Linked DNA regions of Oryctolagus cuniculus. The protein of the gene in region 3 purifies or fractionates together with the protein of the main gene of each other region. This does not show direct contact. Links are inferred from orthologs where the notes say so. Each region holds a gene or a part of one and is shown on either strand. Other genes may lie near its edges.

Region 1 (3,645 bases), about 24 Mb from region 3:
ACCTTTTCCTCAACAAGGGCCCCCATCTGAGGCAGTGCTCCCTCAGATTTGAGGACCACTTCAACGCCAGAGCTGGCTTCTATGGGTTCTTTCTCTTCACGCCTAATTTAACATCTTCCAGGGCTACGTTTCTGTAGCTGTCATCACATCAAAGGGATTTTTTGCATCAACCTCCTACCTGAAAAAAGGGACCCAGCCTGGCAAAGGGACCTTCTTTGGCTCTTTGGAGCCATGCATGCGTGCACCACACGTAGAACAGGTCTTTCGCCAAGAAGGGTTATTCACACCTGTTTCTAGGTTGCTTTTTTGATAGTTTGGGTGCAGCACAGCATAAAAATTCATCTCAGAAACAATAAACTATAAGGAGAAACAGAAGCTTACTGAAGTCAACAGCTATTATGAGACAAAGAACAGGATATCATAACTATCATTCTTTGCCAAAACTGGGCCCTTGGCCCTGTTTCTGTTCTGTCTTGGAAGAAAGCTTCACCCAGCAGGGTGGTGCTATGTGTTTAGGGGGTCATCCAAGTTCACCGTAAATTTAAGTTTTCCTTCATGGTTGGCATCAAAGCTTCAGAGCAAGGCTGTAACACATCTGTGTAGGCCCTTGAGCAGGTTCTTGCACCAGGATCCCACAGACAGGTTCATGCTCCTGGTGTTCCCCCTGCCCTGCCCTTGAGCCATGCGTTCCTCAGGCATTACAGACACTGTTCTGAAAACAGTGGTTATGGCAAAAAGCATTTGGAAACTTGTAACCGATTCCTTTCTAGTGGCTAAGATGCAACAGCTATTTCTGCAATGGGGCCTGTCCACAAGCTCAGTCCGGATGTGTCTGTAGCTGGAAGCTGAATGCCTTCTTCCCACTCACTGCTATATAAAAAAGTGCAAAGACATTCTGTTCACCAACCAGCCAACCACGGGCAATAACATTAGGGGCACAGGAGGGGAGCTGCTTGTCACTCAAAGGGAAACGTGAGTTTAAGGAAAGGATGGCGTGCTCACTCACCACTGAAGTAAGAGCCATCTGAAAACTGTAGATGCGCGCAAGGCCGAAGTCAGCCAGTTTTATTTGTCCACTGCTGGTCACCAGAATGTTCTGTGGTTTTAGATCGCGATGCACTACTCGGTGAGAATGAAGAAAGTCCAGACCTCGCAGGAGCTGAAACATCATATCCTAGAGGAAAACCAAATGAGAAGATGAATGTTCGAGTTGGAAATCTAGCCTGTGCCATATCTGACATTGAATTCTCAGCACCTTGCTGAGTGCTGGGCATACAGTAGGCAGTCGGTAAATATTAGCAAATGAATCTGTCTCCCTCCCCACCTCTCCCCTCTTCCAGTCTCAAGAACACTACAAAAAACTTAGCTCTTGACCTACATTTTATTAATGAATGGACAATTAAGAATAGTTCTAGATAGCAGAGGAAACATTCTGGAAGGACCCATGCTAACTCGGTGTCTGTGTTAACGCTGGGGAGGGGCAGCAGGAGGTGGTGAGAGGGGACCCTACTGTTTCACATTTAGTTCAGCAACCAAAATCCAGTGAATGGTAACTTAACCTGTGGTAACTATAATAACAAGAGTGCTTGATACTAAGCAGTCACTATGTGCCAAGCACTATTCGAAACAGCTTCTGTGTAGTAACTCACTTAAACCATACCACAATAGTGAGGTAAGTAACACCATTACTTCCATTTTACAAGTCAAGAAACATACACAAAAGCAGAACAGGTTAATTCGTCCAAACATGTAAAATGAGGCAAACCTTTTCATCTGTTTTCCCATTCGTAAAAGGGCAAAGTAACAAAACTTACTTCTTCAGATTAATGGGTGTGAGGTGTTTAGCACAGCAGTAAGCATTCAATACGTGACAGATGACTGCTATCATTACTAACCAGTGCAGTGGGCAGGGACATTCAGAAAATATACCAATACTAGATCTAAATTTTACGACTAATAAAATTAGATACAAGATTTAAAACTCAGAATCGGTATGTCAAAGTAGGAACTTAAGACATTAGCCACGATACCATGATCCTCTGAAATCTGGGGTTGATAATTATCTAAACAGTGTGTAAAAGGGAGGAGGAACTATTCTGTTCCCATGAAGGCTAGAAAAAACAAAAAGGCAGAATCATGGAGTTCTGAACCGGAAGGGGCTGGGATGGCCCTCAGGGAAGAACAATGCCTTCGTGTGTGGTTTTACGGCTTGGGTTCCTCCTTTAGAGCTGGGAGTTCTGTCTTCACCTCCTCACTTGTTCAAAATCAAAGCCTTAATTTTTCCATCTGTAAAATGGTAAAAATATCGTTTGCTTTCCAGAACGCCACGTTTAAATGGAAGTAATGTATGCAAAATGGGGATGCATTTCCGGCACAAACTTTTCAACAGATGGTAATTATTGCTGGGGGAGAGGGAAGGTCAGTGTGAACCGAGTACTAGGAGGGAGCGAGCAGTGACCCAGGAGGTCCTCTTTACTGGATACTCTGAACTGGGAGGGCCTGGTTTGTCAGTTTCCAAAGGTAAAAGCTGTGGAGGAAACCACTCTGGGGAGGGACGGCCCTGGAGACTCGAGCCCCACTGCGAGTGAAACGACCTGCAGTGAACACACAGTGTGTGAAAATGAAGCCCGGCACTCTAAAGAAAGTGCTCTTCTGCGGCGGCAAACGCGTCTTTATTGGAACCACATGCGCACAACTTGTAAGCGCTGGTTTTAAGCAGCATGACTAACCTAAAGTAATGTCACGCTGGCTCTTCATCTTTAGCTTCCTATACACAAAGCATCACCCATTTAAAACAGAATGGAGAATACACCTGCCTGGTTCATGCTGCAGTATTCAGAGAATGGAAGCAACCAATTAGAAGTAAAAAACTTTAAAAACCCGAACTAATTAATTAATAAAAAGGTCCATCAAAATTTATAAAAAGCCCTAACTACAGTGTAAAATAAGAACATGTGTACATTGTTATTTGTGTATTTATATAAGCACATACTGCCTTCTTAGTTGTAAAATTGATAAACATGTATATACATGTTTAATACAGAAGTTCTTAAGTTTTTGGAAATCTAGAGTAAAAAGAAAAATCATTCAAAATCCCACTGCTCAGAACACAAACTTCATGTTAAATAACAATTTTTTTTCTACTCTGTCTTAAAAAGATTACATGTATTATATGTATATGTTTAAATATTTTAATAAAAATTGTTATTATTCTTTATCATTATTTTGTGTCGCTTTTAAATTCATTGTGAATATTTTGCTCTTCAACGAAATTCTCCCATGGAATGTTTTTTACGCCATGTGATTTTTAATGGCTGTACGATTTTCTTCCCTGGGATATGCCATAATCATTTTTAAAAAAGATTTATTTGAAAGTCAGACTTATACAGAGAAAGGAGGAGGCAGAGAGAATGAGATAGAGAGAGAGGTCTTCCATCTGCTGGTTCATTCTTCAAATTGCTGTAATGGTTGGAGCTGCATCAATCCAAAGCCAGGAGCCAGGAGCTTTTTCCGGGTCTCGGGTCTCCCACACATGGGTACAGGGGCCCAAGCACTTGAGCCATCCTCTACTGCTTTCCCAGGCCATAGCAGAGAGCTGGATCGGAAGTGGAGCAGCCGGGATTTGAACAGGTGCCCACGTGGGAT
Region 2 (4,235 bases), on a different chromosome or scaffold from region 3:
GAGCCACGCAGAGGGCAGAGGGGGAGGGGAGGGGACAAGGGGAGCAGCTGAGGCACAAAAGCCAGTTCTGCTGGGGGCTGCTCGTTGGGCAGAGCTCCTGGGGCCTGAGGGGAGAGAGAGAGAGAAAGAGAGAGAAGGAGAGAGGGAGAAGGAGAGAGGGAAATAGGGAGAGGGAGAGAGGGAAAGAGAGAGAGAGGAGAGAGAAAGAAGGAGAGGGAAAGAGAGGGAGAGAGAAAGAAGGAGAGAGAGAGAGAGAAGAGAGGGAGGAGAGAGGGAAACAGGGAAGGAGAGAGGGAGAGGGAGAGAGGGAGGGAGGGAGAGAGAGAGAGGGAGGGAGGGAGAGAGAGGGAGAGAGGGAGAGGGAGAGAGGGAGAGAGGGAGGGAGAGGGAGAGAGGAAGAGAGGGAGGGAGAGGAAGAGAGGAAGAGAGGGAGGGAGGGAGAGAGAGGGAGAGAGGGAGAGAGAGAGGAGAGGGAGACAGAGGGAGAGAGAGTGGGTGGGATGCGGGCAGGGGCGGGGACAGGAGGGGCGCCAGGTGGATGGCGGGCTTGGTGCCTGTGCCGGGACAGCAGGCCTGCAGTGGCGTGGGTTAGAAGGCTTCAGGTTCAGGAGGATGGGTCCGGACCCCAGCTCTGTCACTTGGTGACAAGGGCTAACACCCCGGGCCTCAACGTCCTCCTCTGTAAAATGGGTCGCCGTGCACTCAGGATTCGGCAGGAATGGCCAGCACTCCCTGAGCAGACATACACGTTAGGTGCTTTTGCGAGTACCGACCCCAGGTCCCTCAGCTCCGGCGCAGCTCGTCGGGGTCTCGACCCTTCCTCCCGGAGAACGGGGGTGGGGTGGGGGGCGAGGCTCCAGAGGACCGGGCCTGGCTCGAAGCCGCCGCCAGTGTCGCCGCGCCCCCTGGCGGCTGTCGGTTGCCATGTCAACGGCGGGCGGCCGGGGCCGGGGGCGGCGGCGGCGGCGGCGGCGGGGGTGGTTCTCGCTCCCTGGGCGCCTCTTGCCTCCGCCTTTGGGGGAGCGCTCGGAGCCGAGGAGGCGGGGGCCCCGCGCGGCAGCCGGCAGTGGGGGTAAACTGAGGCACGCGGCAGGGCGCCCCGCAGCCAGGTGTGGAGCGCGGGGCCCCACCTCCGAAGACAGAGGAGGGGCCGCGGGCGGTGACGCGCCGAGGGCGGCCGGCCGACAGCGAGCGGGCGGGCGGGCAGGCGGCGGCGGCGGCGGCGGCGGCGGCAGGTGCGGCCGCGGAGGGTGGGCGGAGGGAGGGGGCGGGCAGAGGGGGAGGGGAGGGCGAGGCCGGGGCGCCTCCCCCTTCATAACGCGCCCCCTCCTGGGCTCTCCGGCCGCCTCCTTGTCGGCTCTCCGCGTCTCGCCCCCTCGCCCGGCAGCCCCGGGCCCGAGCCCCGGCCAGGGAGCCCCCAGGCCGCGGCTCGGGGGCGGCCCCCCCTCGCCCGCCGCCCAGCGCAGCCCGGCGGAGGCGGCGCCGTCGGAGGAGGAGGAGCAGGGCACTGCGGCTGGCCCCGGATCGGGCGCCCGAGCGGCTGCAGCAGCTTCGGCAGCAGCGGCGGCCTGGGCCGATGCAGCGGGACGCACCGCCCCGAGCCCCAGCCCCAGCGCCCCGGCTCCCGGCGCCCCCGATCGGGGCAGCCGCCAGCACGGGCGGCGGCGGCGGCGGGGGCAGCGGCGGCGGCGGCGGCGCCTCTGCAGCTCCGGCTCCCCCTGGCCTCCCGGGAACTACAAGTCCCAGGGGGCCTGGCGGCGGGCGGCGGGCGGAAGAGGCGGGGTCGGCGCCGCGAGGCCGGAAGTGGCCGTGGAAGCGGAAGTGGCGCGGCCGCGGAGGGGCCTGGAGCGCGGCTGCAGGGCCCGGGGCGGGAGCGGCGGCGGCTGCGGCGGGGGGCGGCGGCGGCGGCGGCGGCGGCGCGCTGGAAGCGGCCATGGCAAAGCAGTACGACTCGGTGGAGTGTCCGTTTTGCGATGAAGTGACCAAATACGAGAAGCTGGCTAAGATCGGCCAAGGCACCTTTGGGTAAGGCTAGGCCCCAAGGGGCCGGGAGCTCTGGGCCTGCACCCCTCGGGGCCGACGTCGGGACGTCCGGGGCCCGGCCAGAGGAGGTCGGGCGGCCGCCGACTCCTCGGCTTGTGCCCTGGTCTCGCTAGGCCGCGCGGCGCCGGCGGGCGGGGAGGAGCTTGAGGCCGGTGTTGGGGGGGCGCTAGGAGGGGCTGCAGAGCGGGGCCTGTGAGCGCAGCGATGTTCCGCGAGCCTCCGGGGAGAGAAGGGGCCGGGGGGTGCACGCCGGGGCCCGGAGGGAGCCTGCAGGTGCCGGGCGGCAGGGGCGCGGCTCGCGCGGCCCGGGCCCCGGCCCCACCCGGAGCCGCCCCTCCTGTCGCGGGGGAGGGGCGGGCGGGCGCTGCGGAACCCGGCGGGTGAGCTCTAGGGTCTCCCTGTCGGCCTGCAGGGAGGTGTTTAAGGCCAAGCACCGCCAGACTGGCCAGAAGGTGGCTCTGAAGAAAGTGCTGATGGAGAACGAGAAGGAGGGGGTGAGTACGGGCCTGGCGGCCGGGCTGCCCCGCGCTGGGCTCCGTGCGTCCCCGGGCGGCCGGGCTGCGCGCTGCCCCGCGCCGGGCTCCGTGCGTCCCCGGGCAGTCCCGGGCTGAGATCGAGTTTGTGGTGGCCTCGGAAATGCTGCGAGGCATCTGGCCCGGGCTCAGCCTGGTTCTCTCCTGGAACGGCGGCTGGGCCGGTGGGGAGCTCACGCCTGCCCTGGCGTCCGCGCAGAGCGTTCGGAAGCCTTTCAGCCTCTGAGTTTCCATCTTGTTTAATTGGAAGGGAAAACGCGCACGTGGTTCTTCAAAGGGATTTTGACGCGGGGCGGGCGGCTGACAGCGCTGCCCCCCCAGGCAGCCCCCACCCTGCTCGCCGCCGGGCCTCGCAGCTCGACACTGTGAGGTGTTTCCGCCGATGGCTGTCCCCGGTCCTGGGCTCAGACCGGCTCCTGAGATGGGCCCGCTGCTCTCACCCCTGTGCTCCAGCCATGGCGCCCACCCCCCACTCACGGTCCCCCTGCCCCCGTCCCCCCAGTTCCCCATCACGGCCCCCCTGCTCACCGCTCCTCCCCCCCCGTTCCCCATCACAGCCCTGCCATGGGCCCTCTGCTCACGGCTCCCCCCCCCCCGTTCCCCATCATGCCCCCCCTGCTCATGGTTCCCCTCCCCCCCAGTTCCCCATCACGGCCCCCCCTGCTCACGGCTCCCCTCCCCTCCCTCCCCTCCCCCAGTTCCCCATCACGGCCCCCCTGCTCACGGCTCCCCTCCCCTCCCCCAGTTCCCCATCACGGCCCCCCTGCTCACGGCCCCCCTCCCCTCCCCCAGTTCCCCATCACGGCCCCCCTGCTCACGGCTCCCCTCCCCCAGTTCCCCATCACGGCCCCCCTGCTCACGCCCCCCTCCCCTCCCCCAGTTCCCCATCACGGCCCCCCTGCTCACGGCCCCCCTCCCCTCCCCTCCCCCAGTTCCCCATCACGGCCCCCCTGCTCACGGCCCCCCTCCCCTCCCCTCCCCCAGTTCCCCATCACGGCCCTGCGGGAGATCAAGATCCTGCAGCTGCTGAAGCACGAGAACGTGGTGAACCTGATCGAGATCTGCCGGACCAAAGGTGCGGGCGGCCGGGGGCCAGGGCCCTGCCTGCTCGGCCGGCCGGCCTGAGCGGGCGCGGGGGGGCGGGGGTGTCCTGACCCCTCTCTCCCTCAGCCTCTCCCTATAACCGCTGCAAGGGCAGCATCTACCTGGTGTTCGACTTCTGCGAGCACGACCTCGCGGGGCTGCTCAGCAACGTCTTGGTCAAGTTCACGCTGTCTGAGATCAAGAGGGTGATGCAGATGCTGCTCAACGGGCTCTACTACATCCACAGGAACAAGGTGGGCGGGGCGGGGGAGGGGCGGGGCCGCGGGGGGGCCGGGGGCGGGGCCGGGGGGGCCGCTGAGCGCCCTCTACTACATCCACAGGAACAAGGTGGGCGGGGCGGGGGAGGGGCGGGGCCGCGGGGGGGCCGGGGGCGGGGCCGGGGGGGCCGCTGAGCGCCCTCTACTACATCCACAGGAACAAGGTGGGCGGGGCGGGGGCGGGAGGGGGCGGGGCGGGGCCGCTGAGCGCCCTCTACTACAGCCACAGGGACAAGGTGGGCGGGGCCGGGGCGGGGCGGGGCCGCTGAGCGCCCTCTACTACATCCACAGGAACAAG
Region 3 (4,377 bases):
ACGTCTTTAAAAATCCATAAATCAGGAAACCCTGGCATCGACCCCCACGGGTTGGGTCCCGGGCATACGCTTGGATCCAGAGCTAGCGAGCGGCTGGCTGGCGTGCCAATAATCCAGGAGCTGAATCCAACCCAACTGGCCACGCCTGGAATGCTGCTTCAAAAATTCATGGAGGATGGCCCAAGTGCTTGGGTCCTGCACCCGCACGGGAGACCAGGAGGGGGCACATGGCTCCTGGCTTCGGATCGGTGCAGCTCCGGCCATTGTGGCCGTTTGGCGGTTGAACCAACGGATGGAAGACCTTTCTCTCTGTCTTACTGTCTGTAACTCTACCTGTCAAATAAATAAATAAAATCTTTAAAAAAAATTTCATGGAGAAATGACATTATAAAAGATAACTTTTGGGGCTGGTGCTGTGGTTAAAGCCCTGGCCTGAAGCGCCAGCACCTTTATGGGTACCAGTTCGAGTCCCGGCTGCTCCACTCTGATCCAGCTCTCTGCTGTGGCCTGGGAGAGCAGTGCAAGATGGCCCAAGCCCTTGGGCCCCTGCACCCGCGTGGGAGACCTGGAGGAAGCTCCTGGCTCCTGGCTTCAGATCAGCCCAGCCCTGGCTCTTGCAGCCATTTGTGGAGCAAACCGGCTCCATCTCTCCTTTTCCTTCTGTAACTCTGCCTTTCAAATAAACTAAATCTTAAATTAAAAAACTTAAAAGAAGAAATGGATAATCTTTAAAATTAAATAAGTCTTCACCAAAAAATTGGCTCAGCAAAGTAAATAAATCTTTCAAAAGGCAACTTTAGCGGGGTGCAAAAAGTCTGAAATTCAGGCATATAAGTTGGATTCAAAAAGTTCACAGAAAACCAGTGCCTCGAAAGGACTATTCCTGGTTACAAATTTTTGGCAACAAAATAAGCAATATCACTTTTCTTTTTCTTTTTTTTTTTTTTTTGACAGGCAGAGTGGACAGTGAGAGAGAGACAGAGAGAAAGGTCTTCCTTTGCCGTTGGTTCATCCCCCAATGGCCACTGCGGCCAGCGCACCGCGCTGATCCGAAACCAGGAGCCAGGTGCTTCTCTTGGTCTCCCATGTGGGTGCAGGGCCCAAGCACTTGGGCCATCCTCCACTGCACTCCCGGGCCACAGCAGAGAGCTGGCCTGGAAGAGGGGCAACCGGGACAAAATCCGGCGCCACGACCGGGACTAGAACCTGGGGTACCGGCGCAGCAAGCGGATGATTAGCCTAGTGAGCCGCGGCGCCGGCCTCCATCTTTTAAAGTTCAGAGGCAGAGACAGAGTTCCCAGCTGCTAGTCCATCATCACGTCAAATGCCCACAAGGGCTGGGGCTGGGCCAGGCTGAAGCCGGGAGCCAGGAACTCAAAGCAAGTCCGCCACGTGGGTGGCGGGGGCCCAGGGCCCTGAGGCGTCCCTGCTGCCTCCCGGGGCAGTGGGAAGGGCAGTGGGAACCGGAGCCGGCAGTGGGTGCAGAGCCCAGGGCGGCGGGCAAACGCCCACCTCTCCGGGAACCCAGAGTGGCAGCCACCAGGCCACCTCTAACTTTTCCATCCCAGTCTCTGCACCAGGATCTTTCCAGAAGCGGGCGCCGCGTTAGCTCAGCTTTGCAGCGCTCAGAGAGATCACAAACCTCCCCCCACCTCGCAAACTGGAGAGGGGGCTGGGGGCTGGGCGGGCACCCCGCCCCTCCTCCACAGCAGCCGGCCAGGAAATGGGGCGGCCCCCACCCCGCTCTCCACGCCAGAGTAAAGATTAACCTCTTTACGCGACAGAAATAGTCTGGGGAGCCTTGCGGAGGTCTTAAATATTTCATAATAAATAGAACTAGAAGGGCTGGAACTTTCTTCCCACACTCCCGCACAGCAGGTGCACGCCCCAGGAGACGGCCGCTTTAAGGAAAGGTTTGGGGGTGGGCCCGGGAGGCAGAAGCAGGCCCCAGGCCACATCCCGGAAGGATGGGGCAGGGCCCTTCTAGGGCTTTCTGGATACAGGTCTGCCAGAAGGGAGGCCCGGGACGGGAATTCCTACTGGAAGCTTCTGGGAGGTGCGCGCTCCGTGCGAGCTGCGGGGTGAGCACCTCCGGGCGGGAGGATGGGTGGGAAGCCACGGGCTGCTCACGGCTAGGATTCTGGGGTCTGGCTCTGGGGGCTCTGTCGTGGGCAAATACGTCAAAGAGGGGGTGGTGACCATGGGGTCCCTGAGTTGCCAGCAGGGACCACCTGCCCGTCCCAGGGTTGATGAGGCTGGGGGCAGGGGTGAGGCGGGGTGGGGTGTCCTCAGATGCCGGCAGAGGTTCCTACAGGCGAGGGACCCCCCCCCCCGGTGGCCCTGGGAATACACAGACCGAGGGCGTCTCAAGGGTTAATAGAGACCCGTGCAGAATCCGAAGGCGGCCCCAGGGGTCGCGCGCAGGGACTGGGGGTGGGTGGGGGTGGGGGTCCCAGCGCTCCCCGAGCCCCGGCGTGGAATCGAGGGGCGGGAAACTCCAAACCGTGAGGTTGGAATCCCGGGCGTCAACAACCGCGGGGTCCCCTGGGCAGTACCCGCGGTCAGAACTCTGGAGCGGTCCCGGGAAAGGGGGCAGGGGCCGGGCACGCGCGCTCTACCTGGTGCCTCCAGCGGAAGAGGCTGGCCGTGTCGATGTTGGGGTGCGTCTCGTCCTCATCGTCGGACACTTCGATGTGGTCCCACACGCTGTAGTCCACCATCTTGCCTCCACGGCCCAGCCCGCGCCCGCTCGAGCGGCGGCGGCGGCGGCGGCGGCGGCGGCGGCGGCAGCGCTGGACACTCGGCCCGCGGAGCCCCGCCCCTTCCGCTTCCGCCCGCGCGCGCAGCCCCCGCCCGCGCGTGACGTCACATCCCTGGTAACGGCGGCGGCGGCCCTGGCGACCAAGCCCGCCTTAAAGGGACCTGCGCACGTGTTAGGGGCCAGGGAGTTCCCGCCGAGACCCCGCCTCGTTGGGCAGGGAGACTCTGCCCGGCACCTCCTGGGGGGCCTACAGGGCAGCGCGGCAGCCAGGAGCGCCTCTCATCTCCTGCCGCCCCCTCCCCGGGGGGCGTTTGCGCTGGGGCAGTTGACGAGACTGAGGGGCTGGATTGTCCCGTTGGCCAAGCCGCAGTGACATCAGCCCGAGGCCACCGCAGGGGCGGGGCCTCGACTCGAAGACCCACCCCCACCCCCACCCAGCTCCCCTGAAGGTGGGGGACTGGATTCCGGGCTAGGGAGGGGCACGAGACCCGAGGGGACTCCCCAGTTCGAGTAGGGGGGGTCGAGACCCTGCCGTGGTGGAGGGGTCTAAGCGAGCGGCGGTAAGATCCTGTCCTACGTGGCGGGGAGGGGAGGGGGTCGACGGTAGGGCAGGGTTTCCCGCGCTGGGACCACACACAGCCCCCGGTGCCCGCCACTCGTGAGAGACGACTTGCGCGCACACCCCCCCTCTGGAATCACCCAAAAGGTTTTCGGGCGCCCTGCGTGGCGTCCCCACGCACGGCCGCTGGGTGTCGCCAAATGTCCAGCTAGTGGCCAGTGCTGCTGGCCTCCGGCCCAGTAGGGGACTGGGGAGGGGCGGTAGGGGGCTTTCCTCGTCGTCCGGGTCTGGGGCTGCTCGTCGCCCCTCCCCGTTCGGCTGGGACCCCTCCCCTCGGCCAGAACGGCTTCAGGATGCCACTGCCCCGAGCTCGGGGCAGCTGGGCCGCGCGCTGCTCCACGGCTCCACCCACTCTCGGATGCAGGGATAAAAGGCCGTGTTGCAGCCTCGGGCCAGGATTATCTCAGATTAAGGGGTGCTCCGCGAGGGTCAAGTGGAGTTGGAGGAGCTCCGGCCACCTGTGTCTGGGACGCCTCTCCCCAGTTCCTCGCAGAGCCTCTGTAGATAGTGGGGGGTCCCTGGAGAGAATAAAAATCGCTCCATGGGGGTGGGGGTGGGGAGGGATTCCCCGGCCCGTTGGGGAGGGGGAGTGGCCATCGGGACCAAAAGCGCCCTCCCTCCGCCGCCCCTCCCCCTCGCTTTTCATTCAAACCCGCGAGTGGGCGGGCGGGGGCGGGGGAGTCCCCGTCGCTTCCCCCTCCCCCCCTCCAGCCGCCAGTCCAGCTCCTCCGTGGCCGTCACGGCCCGAGCACGCGCGCGCACGGACTCACACCCCGGCGGGTCTCACCGCCGCGCGCACACACTCACACTCACACTCACACACCAGCAAACAAAGGGTCTGGGCACCCCAGTCCCTTCCCGCCCCCTCCCCCCGCCGGAGAGGGCGGGGCGTCCCTTCCCCAGCCCCCTTCCAAGGTAAGCTCTGGGCTGCAAGCTGCGGTGGGCAGGGGGTGGGTCCGGCGCCCGGGAGGAGTCTAGAACGGTGAGGGGGACCTCC
Region 4 (4,396 bases), on a different chromosome or scaffold from region 3:
CTTCCTCAAGCTCCATCTTGCTTGACATCAAGGCAGATCGCTGTTTCATGAATTCCTGCTTCATCATGAAAGACAGAACAAATTCACACTCCAGGAGGGTGGCAAGTCTAGCTTCCTTCCAAAACTAGCACTGTGACCTTGGACGAGCTCTTCACCTCGCCCTGTCCATTTGTACATGGGGATCACAATGGTGCCTATTCTTCACAAAGTCATCCGGAGAATTCAATGAAGGAAGGAGGCTTGGCCTCTGGCATGCACTCCAAGAATGCTAACCACGGCTTCTCCTCCCGCCTCTGCACGGCACAGGTGGTAATCACGTGGCTCTGCTGAGCCTCTTCGGGTTCCTCCCAGTTGCTGGGCTGCTAAACAAGGAACCCAAGCAGGATAGGAGGCGGAGGCGGGACACCCAAAGCTGTAACTCTGACGTTTCTCGAGGGTTTAAAGTGGAAGAATAAAGGTTTTTCTAAAGCATTTCATAGTGTCTCAAGGCCAGGAGAGCCAATGAGGACGTGGAGTACAATTCTGGATGGGTAAACTGTTACAGGACTAAATGTCTAAGCAATTTAAATAATAAAAAAAATCTACTCTTGATGAAATTATGGCACTGTTAACACTGTTTTGTGCTTCAGCCAGCGTGAGACAAGTTTTTGCTTTGTTACTAAACTACACCACCACCAGTTTTACTGAGAAAATGCATTATTTTTTTTTTTAAAGATTTAGTTATTTATTTGAAAGTCAGTTACACAGAGAGGAGAGGCAGAGAGAGAGAGAGAGGTCTTCCATCCGATGGTTCACTCCCCAGATGACTGCAACAGCCAGAGCTGTGCCTATCTGAAGCCAGGAGCCAGGAGCTTCTTCCAAATCTCCCACGCAGGTGCAGGGGCCCAAGCACTTGGGCCATCTTCTACTGCATTCCCAGGCCATAGCAGAGAGCTGGATGGGAAGAGTAGCAGCTAGGTCTCGAACCGGCAGCCATATGGTGCTTCAGGCCAGAGCATGAACTTGCTGCGCCACAGCGCCAGCCCCAGAAAATGTATTACTGCTCAAAGTTAGATTTAGATGCACATTGGCTCGCTGTACTGGCAAAACTGTAATCTAGGCCTAAGTACAAGGCCTTGCCTCCCCCGGTGGGAACCAGTGAAATAACAGTACGGTAGGACGCTGTGTTGCTGGTGGTGAATTAACACTCCACATCCATTTCTAAACCCTTGTCTATGTTTTCATTCCACGGAAGAGCCTACTTGTCTCCAGGCCTCTCACGGCTAAGACTCGGTGAGACTGCTCCAGCGATGAGAAACAGGAAGTCAGTGGGGCCGCCTCCTTCCTCAGAGCTACTATCTCGTTCACTGGTGCTTGTGGCCAGACTCAGCATTCCAGTTGTCTGGTTATCAGCGTTATCATAATCTAGAGCCTCTGGCCCGGATGCAGCAGTCAAGTGACTGGGCACCAGCTGAAGAACAGAGGCACTTAAAGGGCTCAAGCAGTGGAAGCCGCAGCAGTTTGCTGACCTCTGGGTCATGTGGTGTGCCCTTGAACCTGACATCCAGTAGCAGGCCCCTATCTTCTGCATCCTACAATTTTGTAAGTACCCAGTTTCCTGCTTTAAATCCCTTTCTGTCTGAATTATCTAGAATGGGTTCTGTTTCCTACTAAGAATCATACTGTGTGGATGTCAAGAAAAATGAAGATTTATATGAATTTTGGGACAAAATTCAGATATAAAATTAACATCAAAATGAAAAGAGAATAGTATGTATTCTTTCATTGGTATAAGGACACAGCCATTTACATGTTTGATTGTTTATACATACACAAATTGAAGGTCACATATGAAAATACAGTCAGTAATCGCTTCTGGGAAAGCAAAAATGGGGTCTGGGATAGAAAAGTTTTATATTTCATTTATAGACCCCTTAAATTGTTGACTTTTTTTTTACCATGCTCATGAAATACATTTTTTCAATTAAAATTTCTTTAGTTGCAAGAAAACAGCACACTTCTGTAACAAATTGAAAATAGAAGATATCCATCAAACCACCAATCTAAGATATCATTTGCATTTTTATATATCCTTTCTAAACCTTTGTTGATTCTTACAGTGGAATATGTAGGCATCACCTTATAGTCTGCTTATTGTTCTGATGACCTATAACTGACCTGACCTTTAGAACATGCTTATCATGTGCCAGGAATATCATTCTTTGAATGATATTCCATTGAAATTAAGATGTTTTTGATTTTAAGAGGCATCATTAGCTTGTGTCTCATTAAGAAAGAACTTGAGAAAAAAAAAAACCCTGCCTACTAAACTATAACACAAACAACATGATGATTTTTTTTCCAACTGAACCACGTATCTCTGGAAGTGAAGCAATTCTGTCTCCAGTCAACAGGAGGTTTCTGACACTTTGGTGCCTGACACCTGAGTGATGGTTCTGCACAAGGCTTGCATTGGTCATATCAGCCTCTCATTGCTTTTGTCTACTACAAGCTGTTTCAGCTTCTCTTGACATTGGCTGCTGTATGATAAGCTTGTGTCTTAGTCACAGCTTCCTCTCTGTGGTTGCTTCACATGAACATGTAGAATTGCAGTCTCTCCTGCAAAGATAAATGCTTGCCTTGCCAAATATCGAACTTAAGACCTCCTGCTCTATTTCTGTGCTTTTATCCATACAGAATAACTTTTGTTTCCATGGTGGATCATAATAAAGTTGTTAAGGCATTTTAAAATGACAAATTCAAATTATGTAGTAATTTATGTACTAATACAATGTATGTGAGAACCACATGAACAGTGATGGTCAGATATATATACATATATATACACATATATACACATACATACACATATGCATATATACACATATATATCCCTTTCTATAAGAAACCATCAATTTTAAGTAATAGTACAGTATCAGAGAAGTTAAAATGTGGAAATGGGATGAGAGTTTGGTGCAACACTTAGGACTTTGAGAGCTTGTTTGGAGGTTCTGGCAGGGGAGTGCAGCTACTTGTAAACCCTTGACTGAAGACCGGTCCTCCTTTAGCGGGTAAGGTCGTCCTCTTTGACCAAGGGCGCAACTTCAGGAGAGACGCACATGGAGCAGTGAGGGAGGAAGGGGACAGTCGCCTAGCCAGCCAGATCAGCCGAATCAACCCTGGTGATCAATGGGGTGACAGATGTTGCAGCCAGATCGCCCTCACATCCAGCAGTTAGGACTTTGTATGGGACAGCGGCATCACATATGGAGATTCCTGGGTTCGAATCCTGGCTCCACTTGCCATTCCAGCTTCCTGTTAATATATACCTTGGGAGGCAGCAGATGATGTCTTAAGTGCTTGAATTCCTGCCACGCTTGTTGGAGACTTGGATTAAATTCCTGGCTCCCAACTTCAGCCTGGCCTAGCCTTGCCTCTTGCCATCATTTGAGGAGTGAATCATCAGTTAGAAGATCTTTCTCTGTCTCTCTGCCTTTCAAATTAATATATTATATATATGTATATGTATATATATATATACACCAACATACATATATATGGGAAAACATGTTCCTTAGAATAGATGAAATACAAGTATAGTATTAGCCATTTGAACCTCAAATAACCTTTAACTCCATTTTATTATTCCTTAGATAAGAAAATCAAGAAGCAAAGAGATTATCAAGGTGCATAGTTACTAAAAAAGCAGGTCTTTTAAAATGCATTCAGTTTCTAGTGCCTACAGTAAGCTTAACTATTAAGCTATGCTGTCTCCTTGTTTTGCTAAAACTTTTCCTTTATTACTACATAATAGTCATAATTATAGAAGCTTAATTCCGTCAGAACAAACCAGAATCTAATTAACCATTATCAAACATTAGATATTATATTGGTTCCAATTTTTCTGTTGTAAATTTTACAGCAATTAACATAACAACACATATGGCTTTTCAGAACCCAAAGGGATGTATTTTAATTTTTTAGTTCAAAAACAGTACTCATTCTAGAGAATCTGGAAAATACATAAATCTTAAATGTGCAAACAAGACTATGATAATGTCATTACATTACTAACATGTTGATGAGTTCCTCTTGAATTTTTGCCATACATCTCTTCATACAGTTGAGATTATAATGGAAATGCCTTCCTCTATCCTACTTTATTCACTTGGAATATTAGTTTCTTGCAGCTGCTATAACAATTAGCACAAACTGTGAGTCGTCAAACTACAGAAATGGATTGTCGCAAAATTCTAGAGGCCAGAGAATGAAATCATGGTGTGGGCAAGGCCATCATAACCGCTCTGGAAGATCCAAGGGAGAACTCACTGCTTTGCATGTTCCCGAAGCTGGTGATTTGCCTATTTCCTTCTCTTGGGATCACATCACTCTCTGCCCCGTCTCTGCACTGACTTCC
Region 5 (3,645 bases), on a different chromosome or scaffold from region 3:
AGCTGATATCAAAGCTTCTGTTAAAAAACAAAACAAAATAAATTCAATATTTTTAGCTTAACAGTGTGTAGTTTAAACAAAAAAAGAAAAAATCCCAGTGGAAAGGGATTCGTGATTGCCTGTTATAAGTATGACTATCACAGAATCGTGGGAATCAAAGAACTTACCTGAAGGGACATTTAAGAGGCCATCGCTTGACAGGAAGTGAAAAAAGGCCTGGTGACTCAGCTGAAAACTGCGCCCCTGTCTGTGAGGTAGAAGCCTTCACTTTCCAGGATCCTGTAGGACCTTGGTCAGAGTTCTGCCATTGCGGTGGGTTTTCTCCCTCCTTTGATTTTTACAAGGCAGCACACAAAGGGGCCCGAAACAAGCACTGATGATGAGTAACAAGAAACAGACTCGAGGGACCTTCCCTCTCCCTCACTGCGCGAGCGAGGGGTGGGGTGAAGAGTCTAAGTCATTCTAATGGTAGCCAATTGATTTGGTTTCGATATGCAAGGGAACATGGAGCATGTTTTTAATTGTCTAGGCAAGATGCACAAAGAAGCTACCAGCACATAGCAAGCCTGTTTAAAAACCACCATTACTGAAAGCTTGTATAGAAACTGCTTTCAGGCCTCCACCTCCTCTCCCAACAGGCCCAAGTTCTAACGGCACAGATCCAGACATGACCTCAGAGGGCAGAGACAACTTCCCATCATGGCTGCGAGCCACCACCTCTGAAGGAGGGGACGGACATTTCAAGGGATACAAAGGCTTCATCATTTTGTGCCCTGACTTGAATACTGGCTTCTACTCAACAGCATAAGGGAATACAGTACTTCTCACCTTACTGGGCAAGACACTAAATGCCCAACAATTTAAAGATTTCTTGGTCAGAGAAATAATCTCACTTTTTAAATAGAAAAGTTGTGAGTCAGATCTACTGATTATCTTGTAATGATGGGTAACACGCCACAAGCTGTCTGCATAGATCTTAAGCCAGAGTGGGTCTCAAACTTCAAAGAACACTTCATATGAGGCTCAAATTAGGAAACACATCCATGATATGAGAATGGGGGGGAGGAGGGGATACAATGCCCATGAATATTTTAAGGAAAATCGGGCAATAAAGATGTAATTGCTGAATGATATTGTATCATAAATCTATTTAATCTCATTTGGGAACTAGGCCTCTATGTTCAAATCTATTTATCTATCTAGCATTGATAGACTGGTATTGAAAAAAAGTTAACTCAAACTAGCTCGTAATAGCTACCTAGGTTCGATCAGGATCACTGTACCCAGCCAGGAAACAGGAAAACCAGGAAGAAGCTGAGCTGTCCAACTGTGTATCTCCTCTCCCCCTAACTGAATAGTCATGCCTAGGCCTTGCTGCAGACCAAAGCCTGTTTGTTAGGAGCAGGAAGAGACTTTGAAAATGAAAGAAAAAACAAAAACAAGGTTTTAAAAAAAATCGTGGGGGGAAGGGAAAAATCTTGCTTTTAACTCTTTTAAATATTTATCTAAACGTATGTACATACAACTCTAAATTTGAAATGATGAATATTTAAACAAAAAAGGTACATATACCACTGTCAGAGACACCTATCTATACAAACCTAGCCCACGGGAGGCTACATCTGTGGCAATGAGGATGGGAGCCTTTCCAGAACGGAACTCTGTGGGGAGCAAAAAGAAGTTCTGTCAAGGTTAAGTGGCACATCCTAAAATGGCAGATTCTTACATGAGATTGTTAAAAATCCTCATCATTTTTTTAGCAGAGGGACGATAGACCAGGAAGTAACTTCTACTAATAAATGACAATCTATGTCCGTTAGCAACAAAAACCAACGTAAGCCCAAGTATTATTTCCCCTAGAAGTTATGTCCCAAGTGTAGTGTGTTTGTGTCTGGGAAATCTAAAAGATTTCCCACTGCTAATGCTCCAAATGCCTCCAAACGCCAAGGCTGGGTCAGGCTGAGGCCAGCAGCCAGACTCAGGTCGGGTCTCCTAGCTGGGGGCAGCAGCCAGACTCAGGCCAGGTCTCCTAGCGGGGGCAGGGAGCCGCCTACTCGGGCCATCCTCTGCTGCCCTCCAGAGCATCCGTGAGCAGAAGGCTGTAACGCGGCATGGAGCCGGGACTTGAGCCCAGGCGCGCAGATGTGGGGTGCAGCAGCTTCCGCACCACTGTGCCAGACGGCCCGCCCATGAGGTGTTAGCAGATACCCAGCTGTGAGAAACCACTACTCAGCCTGCAGAGACAAAATGTCTACTAGCTGGTCCTCAACAGATTAAGGAAAAAAAAGCCCATGGAAAAATGCTCAGTTCTGGACTTACCATTAAGAACCCAGTCTCTTTCTGGTTGACTCTTGTCCCCATGGATACACATAGCTGGCCACCTATGAAAAGAAAAGTGACCAATGTTTCAGAAGGCTTTAAAATAAACAAAACTAAGCTATATATAAAAAGAAACGCTGCCCATAATTCTGATGAACTCCTAAGACTCCTAGAAACAGCCTTCATCGAAGAGTAAGCCGCACGCCAGCGTTAAGGTGAGACCTCTGCAACACTGACCACAAATCCCCACTCAAAACCCGGTGCTGCACTCACCCATCTCTGCGCATCCTCCGAGTGAGGTCATCACAGCGTCTCTTTGTCTCCACAAATATGATTGTTTTGTTTTCCTTTTCAGCCATGATTTCCTCCATCAGCTGGATCAATCTGAAAGACCAGTGTTACAGCCATTGTGTCAGAAAAGACCTCCCTATATATTATGCAGAAGATACGTCTTCTCCCAAAGTTAAGGAATTGCTTTCTCACTACCCATTTAAAAGGCTCAGTAAACATATGTTGGACACTCACTCAGAACTGCTTTATGTTCCTGAGAAACATCAACTCACACTACTCTCACGGCAAGTCTGAAGTAGGTGGAATCATCTCCATTTCACAGATGGAAGAACTAAAGAGAACGTGAGCCTAAACCTAACATTAAACAGCTGGAAATTAGCAGGACCAGGATTCAAACCCAAGGATCGGCCAGTGCAGCCACTCAATAGGCTAATCCTCCGCCTAGCGGCGCCGGCACACCGGGTTCTAGTCCCGGTTGGGGCACCGGATTCTGTCCTGGTTGCCCCTCTTCCAGGCCAGCTCTCTGCTGTGGCCCGGGAGGGCAGTGGAGGAAGGCCCAGGTGCTTGGGCCCTGCACCCCATGGGAGACCAGGAGAAGCACCTGGCTCCTGGCTTCGGATCAGTGCGGTGCACCGGCCGCAGCGGTCATTGGAGAGTGAACCAATGGTAAAGGAAGACCTTTCTCTCTGTCTCTCTCTCACAAAACCAAAAACCAAAAACCAAGGATCTAGAACTCTGGCCTTTAACCACAGGGCTCTGGTGAATGCTAAACAAGATGGTATTTTAGAAAGCTAGCCAATTGGGGCTGGCGCCACGGTGCAAGTTAACCCTCCGCCTGCGGTACTGGGATCCCATATGGGTGCCTGTTCTAGTCCTGGCTGCTCCTCTTCCAGTCCAGCTCTCTGCTGTGGCCTGGGAAAGCAGAAGATGGCCCAAGTCTTTGGGCCCTTGCACCCACATGGGAGACCTGGAACAATCTCCTGGCTCCTGACTTTGGATCGGTGCAGCTCTGGCCATTGTGGCCATCTGGGGAGT
Region 6 (2,183 bases), on a different chromosome or scaffold from region 3:
ACAGCCCAAATATTTGGGCCCCTACCACCCACATGGGAGACAGACACTGCTGGCTGCAGCCTGGCCCAGCCCTGGTCGCTGTGGCCATCTGGGGAGTGAGCCAGCAGATGGAAGATCTTCTCTCTCTCTCTGTACTCTTTCAAAAATATTTTTTAAAAATCTTAAAAAAAATATCCATCAAGGCCAGCAAGCATCATACGTAACAGTGAGACCTAACATCAGTAACAAGACCCCATCACTGCTCGTCCGTCCCCTCCCCTTCCATCTTGGCCAGAGGAGTAAAACGAACAACTTCTAGGGCATAGCCACGTTCAGTCACTCCTAGGTCGGTGGGCAAAGGGGAACAGAATAACCAGGAGAGAGAAAAACCAGAGGTCAGACAATCGACTGGCGGGAGAGGTGGGTGGTGTTTGAGCACAGTGAGGGCATCTGAGGTCTCCCAACACCCCCAGGCTCTGGGGCTCTGAGTCTGAGCAGGGGAAAGAAATGGCCGGGGGGGTGACGGTGGCTGGGATCTGGGAGGGCGAGCTCTTACCGGGGGAAGTGACCCAGTATCCCTTGCACCAGCTGGGGCAGGCAACCTCTCCTACCCACAGGGAACCGTCGCCTCCACCCAGAGACATCTACACTCAATGTACAAAAGCCTCGGCTTTTATTAAAAAGGAGGTAGAAGACAGATAAGGGAACAGGCCAGACTCCCTCCTTCCCCCTACACACACAAACACACACACACACACACACACACACACAACACTGAGTGAATGACAGGGTCCATCAGGCGACAGACTGCATGGCCGAGGGAGGCAGCACCCGGCGAGAGTGGGCCCGGACCCAAGGGTGGGCTGAGACCTGGGCCAAGGTCAGCCGATCGGAGGGGTTGTGCCTGAGCAGCTTGGAGATAAGGTCCTGGGCCCCCGCGGGCACAGAGGCGGGGAACTTCAGGTCCACCTGCAGGAGGGGAGAAAGGAGCAGAAACCGCCTGTGTTCCACCCCAGTGGCCACAAAGACCCGCGCGTCCAACCCTGCCCTCCCCAGCCCCTGGCCTCTGCAGCCTGGAGCGCCGGCAGCGTGACCCACCTTGACGATGCGCCGGTATGTCTCGTTGTGTGATGCGCTCTCAAAGGGCGGGTTCCCCACCAGCAGCTCGTAGCAGAGCACCCCGATGCACCACAAGTCCACCTTCTCATTGTGCGTGCGCCCCTCAATCATCTCGGGGGGCAGGTAGTCTAGGGTGCCACACATCGTCTTCCTCCTGTGGGATGAAGGGCATGCCAGGGGTCCTGGGACCAGGCAACCATGCTCATCCACCCTCTCCCCCCCAGGCAGCCAAGAGACCCTGGGAGGCAGCAGGGGAGTGCTCCATCCAGGTCACGCCTCTGGGGATGGGGTGGGCCGGTGGCCTCCACATTGCCCCCCAGTACTTCCACTGGGGGACTAAAACAGATAAGGCAGGAGGGCAGTGCTGACGTGGGGAAGAAACCCTGGAGGCCTCTCTCATGCCCGCCAAGCGGGTTCTGCTTAAGTAGCTCGGGGTGCTTCTCCACTGGCATTAGAAATGAAGGGTGGGCCGGCGCCGCGGCTCACTAGGCTTATCCTCCGCCTGTGACGCCGGCACATCCGGGTTCTAGTCCCGGTCGGGGTGCCAGATTCTGTCCCGGTTGCCCCTCTTCCAGGCTAGCTCTCTGCTGTGGCCAGGGAGTACAGTGGAGGATGGCCCAAGTGCTTGGGCCCTGCACCCCATGGGAGACCAGAAGTACTGGGCTCCTGGCTTCGGATCAGCGCGGTGCACCGGCTGCAGCGTGCCGGCCGCGGCGGCCATTGGAGGGTGAACCAACGGCAAAGGAAGACCTTTCTCTCTGTCTCTCACTGTCCACCCTGCCCGTAAAAAAAAAAAAAAAAAAAAAAAAAAGAAGGGTGGGAAGCACCTGGGGTCAGAACTATGCGTCTCCTACTTTCCTACCGGGATTGCCCAGAGGTGCCGCCTGCCAGGGCCGGCTTCCCAGCGCCACGTACCGCAGGGAGGGCGCGTGCACAGACCAGCCGAAATCCGCGATCTTCAGCTCCCCCTGCAGCCCCAGGAGCAGGTTCTCCGGCTTGATGTCCCTGTGAATCACTTTCTTCTCGTGGCAGTAGCGCAGGGCATCTGCCAGCTCCTCCATGATCTGGGAGGGCGGGGACAGGCA
Region 7 (4,415 bases), about 3.9 Mb from region 3:
TGCAGGCACCCTCCCCCCTCCCGCTGGAACCTCCCACCCCCCGCACCCCCCCACCCGGTGCCCAGAACCAAACACGAGCCGAGGGCCGCTCCCGGGAGGTTTCTCATACAGTCTTTAATGCCATCACCCTGCACAGCGACAAGTCACACACACTTTGGTCTCATGTCGGCAGTGGCAACGTACAATGAGTCTCAAGGGGCTGAGCACCAGACGGGTGTCCCGGGAATAGACCCCGCCTCCGCCCGGGGCCATGGGGGCAGGGCAGGGCCCGTCTGGGGGCACCCCGGCCTGACGGGGAGTTATAAAAACATTTACAGGCTCCTGCAATCGGGAGCAAAGACCCTTTTATCAAAAGGGATTATAGCTATGTCTCTATACATCTCTCCAGGGTTGTGCAAAATTCCGAAGGATCAGATCCCTTTGAGAGAGAAACAAAACGAAACGAAACAAAACAAAGTCCAGAGTCCATGGAACAGAAAGGGCACCCGGAGCTGCCCAGAGCTCGCTCTCGGCAAAGCACGGCTGGGCCCCGTCTCCGTGAGCTCCCGGGCTCCCGTGGTCCCGCTGGAAAGAGGAAGGTATTGCTTGTGGGCGCCGGCCGGGCAGTTCTGCAGAGTCTAGCTTTCTCCACCTGAGATGGCCAGGATGAGCCGGGGGGTGGGGGTGGGGGGAGGCATGGAGCAGGGGAGACAAAGCACAGGACCCAGCTGCAGGTGCGGGGGGGGGGAGGTGTCTGGAGGAGCGTGGGGCGGGGCGGGCCTCGTCCTGCTCTGCCCACCACCTGCCGCTCCGCCGCCCGAAAAACCAGCACAGTCGAGTGCACGACTTTCAAAGATTGTAATATATTCTCTGGAAAACATAGAGCAGGATCAGGCTCCCGGGCCCTCCCGCCCTCTCACGGTCCACGAGTGCCGGGGTAGCCGGAGACGCTGAGCTCTGGCGAGGTCCCTGGGGCCGGCGGCGCCCGGATGATGCGGGGGCGGTGGGTGGGTGGGTGTGTGGGGGCGCTAGATGGGCAGAACCTGCTCCAGGACGGTTCTCGACGTCTGGGGGATCCTTTCGGGGAAGACCACCTCAAATTCGATGATGAGGTCCCCGCGCTTCTCCGGCGTCTTGGGGAGGGGCAGGCCTTCGCCCGGCACCTTCCGCCGCATGCCGGGCCTGATGACGTCTTTGAAGACAACGGGGATGCTGCGGCCGTCCAGAGTCGGCACGTTCACCGTGCAGCCGCACAGGGCCTGGGCGGGGGTGGGGGGGGGTAGGACAGCGGTCAGCCGCGAGAGCCTGGGGAGCCCCGCCCGCCCCCAGCGCACCCCCACGGCTCCCCACCCCCGCGGCCTCACCTCCCGCAGGCTGACGCGGGCCGGGTAGATGACGTCCGAGCCGTCTCTCTTGAAGATGTTGTGTGGCTTGTCCTTGAGCACGAACACGATGTCGGCGGGGATGTTGCTGGAGGTCTGGTCCCCCTCCTTGGGGAAGGTGATCTTGGTGCCCTCTTTCCAGCCCCGCTTCACCTCGATCGTCAGGATCTTGTCTTCGTTCCGGATGCTCTTGCCGTCGGGGTTCAGCCGCTTGTGGGAGATCTTCATCTTCTTGGTGCAGCCGCTGTAGATCTCTTCCAGGGAGACCCTGAGGTCGTGCGTGACGGGCGGGTCTTGCTTCTTGCGGGTGGGCTCCTGGGCCGGGCGCGAGCGGCCGAAGTTCATGTTGGTGAAGCCGCCCACGCCCATGGGGAAGCCGGCGAACGGGTCGTCGATGTCCATGCCCTCTTCCCCGTTCCGCTGCCCAAAGAACGTGTCAAAGGGGTTCCGGCCTCCGAAGAACTCGGCAAACATGGCGTGCGGGTCGCCATGGAACGTGTAGCTGAAGGACGTCCCGTTGGCCCCGCCGCCGCTGCCCCCGCAGGGGCCGCCGCCCTTCAGGCCTGCGAAGCAAAAACGCAGGGACGTGAGGGGGCGGGGCGGGATTGCTCTCAGCCCGCCGAGGGCCGGACCCCAAGCTTGCACCTGCCGCTGCAGACACTGGGGGCCTCGGCCCGCAGGTGACAGCCACCAAGGCCCGGCCCCTGCCTGCTCCCGGCTGATCCTCCCAAGAATCCACCAAGAGACCCAGACATGACCCGGGGTGGGGGAGAGGGGGGAAGAGCGGCGGCCACGTCCCCTGAGCCCAGAGAGAACGTGGGCAAATGCAGGCCAACCAAAGACACCCCGGAAGCTTTCTGAAGCTCTCCCGTCCCAGCACCAATCGCCGCTGCCCTGATGATCGGAAAAAAAAAAAACACACTCTACTGGCTCAGGACCGAGCCCGGAAGCCGGTGAGTCACCGACGGGCAGCTGGGCAGGCCGAGACCCGGCCGCCCCCCGCCGCGCCCCCCGCCCCGGCCCGCACCGGGTGCAGACCCAGGGAGGGGCCGCCCGGACGTGCTGGAAGCTTCTGCGCGAGCGGCGAGCCGGGGCTCCTCCTCCGCCCGCCGGGGGCCCTCTCAGCAGCCCCCCACCCCCGGCCGGCGGCGCGCGTGCCTCGGTTTCCCCGCGCGCCGCGGCCGCGCGCACGCACCCTCCTCCCCGTAGCGGTCGAAGATCTCGCGCTTGCGCGGGTCGCTCAGCACGTCGTAGGCCTCGGCGATCTCCTTGAACCGCTCCTCGGCGCCGGGCTCCTTGTTCTTGTCCGGGTGGTACCGCAGCGCCTGGCGGCGGTAGGCCCGCTTCACCTCCTCGTCCGACGCGCCGCGGGCCAGGCCCAGCGTCTGGTAGTAATCCTTGCCCATGGCGCCCGCCCGCGGCCCCGCCGTACCCGGCTCCGCCGCCGCCGCCCGGCCCGACTCTATATACCCGTCCGGCGGAAGCTTCCAGAGCCCGCCAGCCCCCTCCAGAACCTTCCGCCCCGCCCCCCGCGCCGCGCCGGCCAATCGCCGCGGCCTCGGCCCCGTGACGCCCCCATCCGGGGCGGGGCCGGGCTGCCAACGGCCGCCCGCGTGCGGCCACGCCCCTTCCCTCTCAGACCCCCCCCCCCCGCCTCTCCCGGCAACGCCTCCCCGCGGCGAGGGCACTGGGCAGGCGGAGGGCCCGCCCACCCCCTCGGGGAGAACCAATCACGACTTCCCGCTCACTGTCTTCTAGGATCTGGCAGGCTGCGAGCCCTGTCCGTTGCCGGGTCCACAGGTTACCGCAGCGGAACGCGGAGCTCCGGGAAGGGGCGGGGCGAGACAAAGCCCCGCCCCTCGAGGTGGCCCCGCCCCTGTTCCCAGCAGATATAAACCTGGCCTCCCGTCTCGCAGGCTGGGTCGTGCAAAGTTCGGCAGGCTTGGTGCTGTTTAGCACAAGTGCAAGAGTGGCACGCCCTCCTCAGCCAGCGGGGAGGGGACAGTGCGAGCCACGTCCACTCCCCTGGAGAGGGTCCTGCCCTTCCTGCCCCTGGTGTCACCCTTGCCGCTGAACTTGCCGATAAACTTGAAATTCCCTTTTCCTTGGCTTCCCTCCCTCCCAGCCTGGGCTGGCGACCAGGACCAGAACCGGGTTCTGCCTGTTCCTAAACAGTCCCGGTATTTGGCTCCTCAACAGACCTGGTTTCTGGCTTTAAAAATTTTTTTTTATTGATTTCATTTTATTTGAAAAGCACAGAGAGAGAGAGAGAGAGAGAGAGAGAGAGAGAACTTTCATTCAATGGTTCACTCCTTAAATGCCTGCGATAGCCAAGGTTGGGCCAAGCCAAAGCCTGGAGCCAGGGACTCCATCCAGGTCTCCCACGTGGTTGGCAGGGACCCAAGCATCACCTGTTGTGTCCCAGGATGCTCATTAGCACGGAACTGGAAGGGCAGCAGAGGAACCACGAGTGAGCCCAGACGCTCCCATGTGGGATGCAGGAGCTCTGGTTGGCATCTTTTTTTTTTTTTTTTTTTTTAAGATTTATGTATCTGGGGGCCAGCGTTGTGGTGCAGCGGGTTGAAGCCCTGGCCTGTGGCACCAGCACCCCATATGGGCACCGGTTCTAGTCCTGAATGCTCCTCTTCTGATCCCTCTCTCTGCTATGGCCTGGGAAAGCAGTGGAAGATGGCCCAAGTCCTTGGGCTCCTGCACTCATGTGGGAGACCTGGAAGAAGCTCTTGGCTCCTGGCTTTGGATCAGTGCAGCTCTGGCCATTGCAGCCATTTGGGGAGTGAATCAGCAGATGGAATATCTCTCCATTTCTACCTCTCTGTAACTGTCTTTCAAATAAATAAATAAATTTTTAAAAAAGATTCACCTATCTATTTCAAAGTCACGAATCATAGAGAGAGGGGGAGAGTCTGAGAGAGAGAAAGAGAGAGAGAGAGGTTTTCCATCTGCTGGTTCACTCCCCAGTTGGCCGCAACAGCTAGCACCAGGCCAGGCTGAAGCCAGGATCCAAGAGCTTCTTCTGGGTCTCCCTCCCACAAG

What was found.
Region 1: the proteins of CDC37 (region 3) and CDK6 purify together in Homo sapiens (affinity purification with western blotting; 5 studies listed by BioGRID and IntAct, with this or other methods). This does not show direct contact. The link is inferred for Oryctolagus cuniculus from reciprocal best matches to the Homo sapiens genes CDC37 and CDK6.
Region 2: the proteins of CDC37 (region 3) and CDK9 purify together in Homo sapiens (affinity purification with mass spectrometry; 9 studies listed by BioGRID and IntAct, counting the BioPlex papers as one, with this or other methods). This does not show direct contact. The link is inferred for Oryctolagus cuniculus from reciprocal best matches to the Homo sapiens genes CDC37 and CDK9.
Region 4: the proteins of CDC37 (region 3) and FER purify together in Homo sapiens (affinity purification with mass spectrometry; 3 studies listed by BioGRID and IntAct, with this or other methods). This does not show direct contact. The link is inferred for Oryctolagus cuniculus from reciprocal best matches to the Homo sapiens genes CDC37 and FER.
Region 5: the proteins of CDC37 (region 3) and DDX17 purify together in Homo sapiens (affinity purification with mass spectrometry; 3 studies listed by BioGRID and IntAct, with this or other methods). This does not show direct contact. The link is inferred for Oryctolagus cuniculus from reciprocal best matches to the Homo sapiens genes CDC37 and DDX17.
Region 6: the proteins of CDC37 (region 3) and AURKB purify together in Homo sapiens (affinity purification with mass spectrometry; 7 studies listed by BioGRID and IntAct, counting the BioPlex papers as one, with this or other methods). This does not show direct contact. The link is inferred for Oryctolagus cuniculus from reciprocal best matches to the Homo sapiens genes CDC37 and AURKB.
Region 7: the proteins of CDC37 (region 3) and DNAJB1 purify together in Homo sapiens (affinity purification with mass spectrometry; 3 studies listed by BioGRID and IntAct, with this or other methods). This does not show direct contact. The link is inferred for Oryctolagus cuniculus from reciprocal best matches to the Homo sapiens genes CDC37 and DNAJB1.

Annotation. Positions count from the first base shown.
Region 1 is NC_091447.1:43,060,671-43,064,315, reverse strand, and holds part of CDK6 (cyclin-dependent kinase 6), read right to left. Parts: intron 1,175-3,645; coding exon 1,007-1,174; intron 1-1,006. UniProt on the Homo sapiens protein: Serine/threonine-protein kinase involved in the control of the cell cycle and differentiation; promotes G1/S transition. Phosphorylates pRB/RB1 and NPM1.
Region 2 is NC_091432.1:231,217,803-231,222,037, forward strand, and holds the start of CDK9 (cyclin-dependent kinase 9), read left to right. Parts: upstream 1-1,292; 5' UTR 1,293-1,576; coding exon 1,577-2,025; intron 2,026-2,455; coding exon 2,456-2,537; intron 2,538-3,560; coding exon 3,561-3,651; intron 3,652-3,746; coding exon 3,747-3,913; intron 3,914-4,235. UniProt on the Homo sapiens protein: Protein kinase involved in the regulation of transcription.
Region 3 is NC_091447.1:67,013,815-67,018,191, reverse strand, and holds the start of CDC37 (hsp90 co-chaperone Cdc37), read right to left. Parts: upstream 2,820-4,377; 5' UTR 2,721-2,819; coding exon 2,619-2,720; intron 1-2,618. UniProt on the Homo sapiens protein: Co-chaperone that binds to numerous kinases and promotes their interaction with the Hsp90 complex, resulting in stabilization and promotion of their activity. Inhibits HSP90AA1 ATPase activity.
Region 4 is NC_091445.1:31,373,047-31,377,442, forward strand, and holds the start of FER (tyrosine-protein kinase Fer), read left to right. Parts: upstream 1-1,462; 5' UTR 1,463-1,581; intron 1,582-4,396. UniProt on the Homo sapiens protein: Tyrosine-protein kinase that acts downstream of cell surface receptors for growth factors and plays a role in the regulation of the actin cytoskeleton, microtubule assembly, lamellipodia formation, cell adhesion, cell migration and chemotaxis.
Region 5 is NC_091442.1:115,134,201-115,137,845, forward strand, and holds part of DDX17 (probable ATP-dependent RNA helicase DDX17), read right to left. Parts: intron 2,704-3,645; coding exon 2,593-2,703; intron 2,382-2,592; coding exon 2,320-2,381; intron 1,662-2,319; coding exon 1,602-1,661; intron 1-1,601. UniProt on the Homo sapiens protein: As an RNA helicase, unwinds RNA and alters RNA structures through ATP binding and hydrolysis.
Region 6 is NC_091448.1:52,686,510-52,688,692, forward strand, and holds the end of AURKB (aurora kinase B), read right to left. Parts: intron 2,163-2,183; coding exon 2,014-2,162; intron 1,253-2,013; coding exon 1,078-1,252; intron 949-1,077; coding exon 775-948; 3' UTR 636-774; downstream 1-635. UniProt on the Homo sapiens protein: Serine/threonine-protein kinase component of the chromosomal passenger complex (CPC), a complex that acts as a key regulator of mitosis.
Region 7 is NC_091447.1:63,136,952-63,141,366, forward strand, and holds DNAJB1 (dnaJ homolog subfamily B member 1), read right to left. Parts: upstream 2,876-4,415; 5' UTR 2,768-2,875; coding exon 2,557-2,767; intron 1,925-2,556; coding exon 1,344-1,924; intron 1,239-1,343; coding exon 1,008-1,238; 3' UTR 95-1,007; downstream 1-94. UniProt on the Homo sapiens protein: Interacts with HSP70 and can stimulate its ATPase activity. Stimulates the association between HSC70 and HIP. Negatively regulates heat shock-induced HSF1 transcriptional activity during the attenuation and recovery phase period of the heat shock response.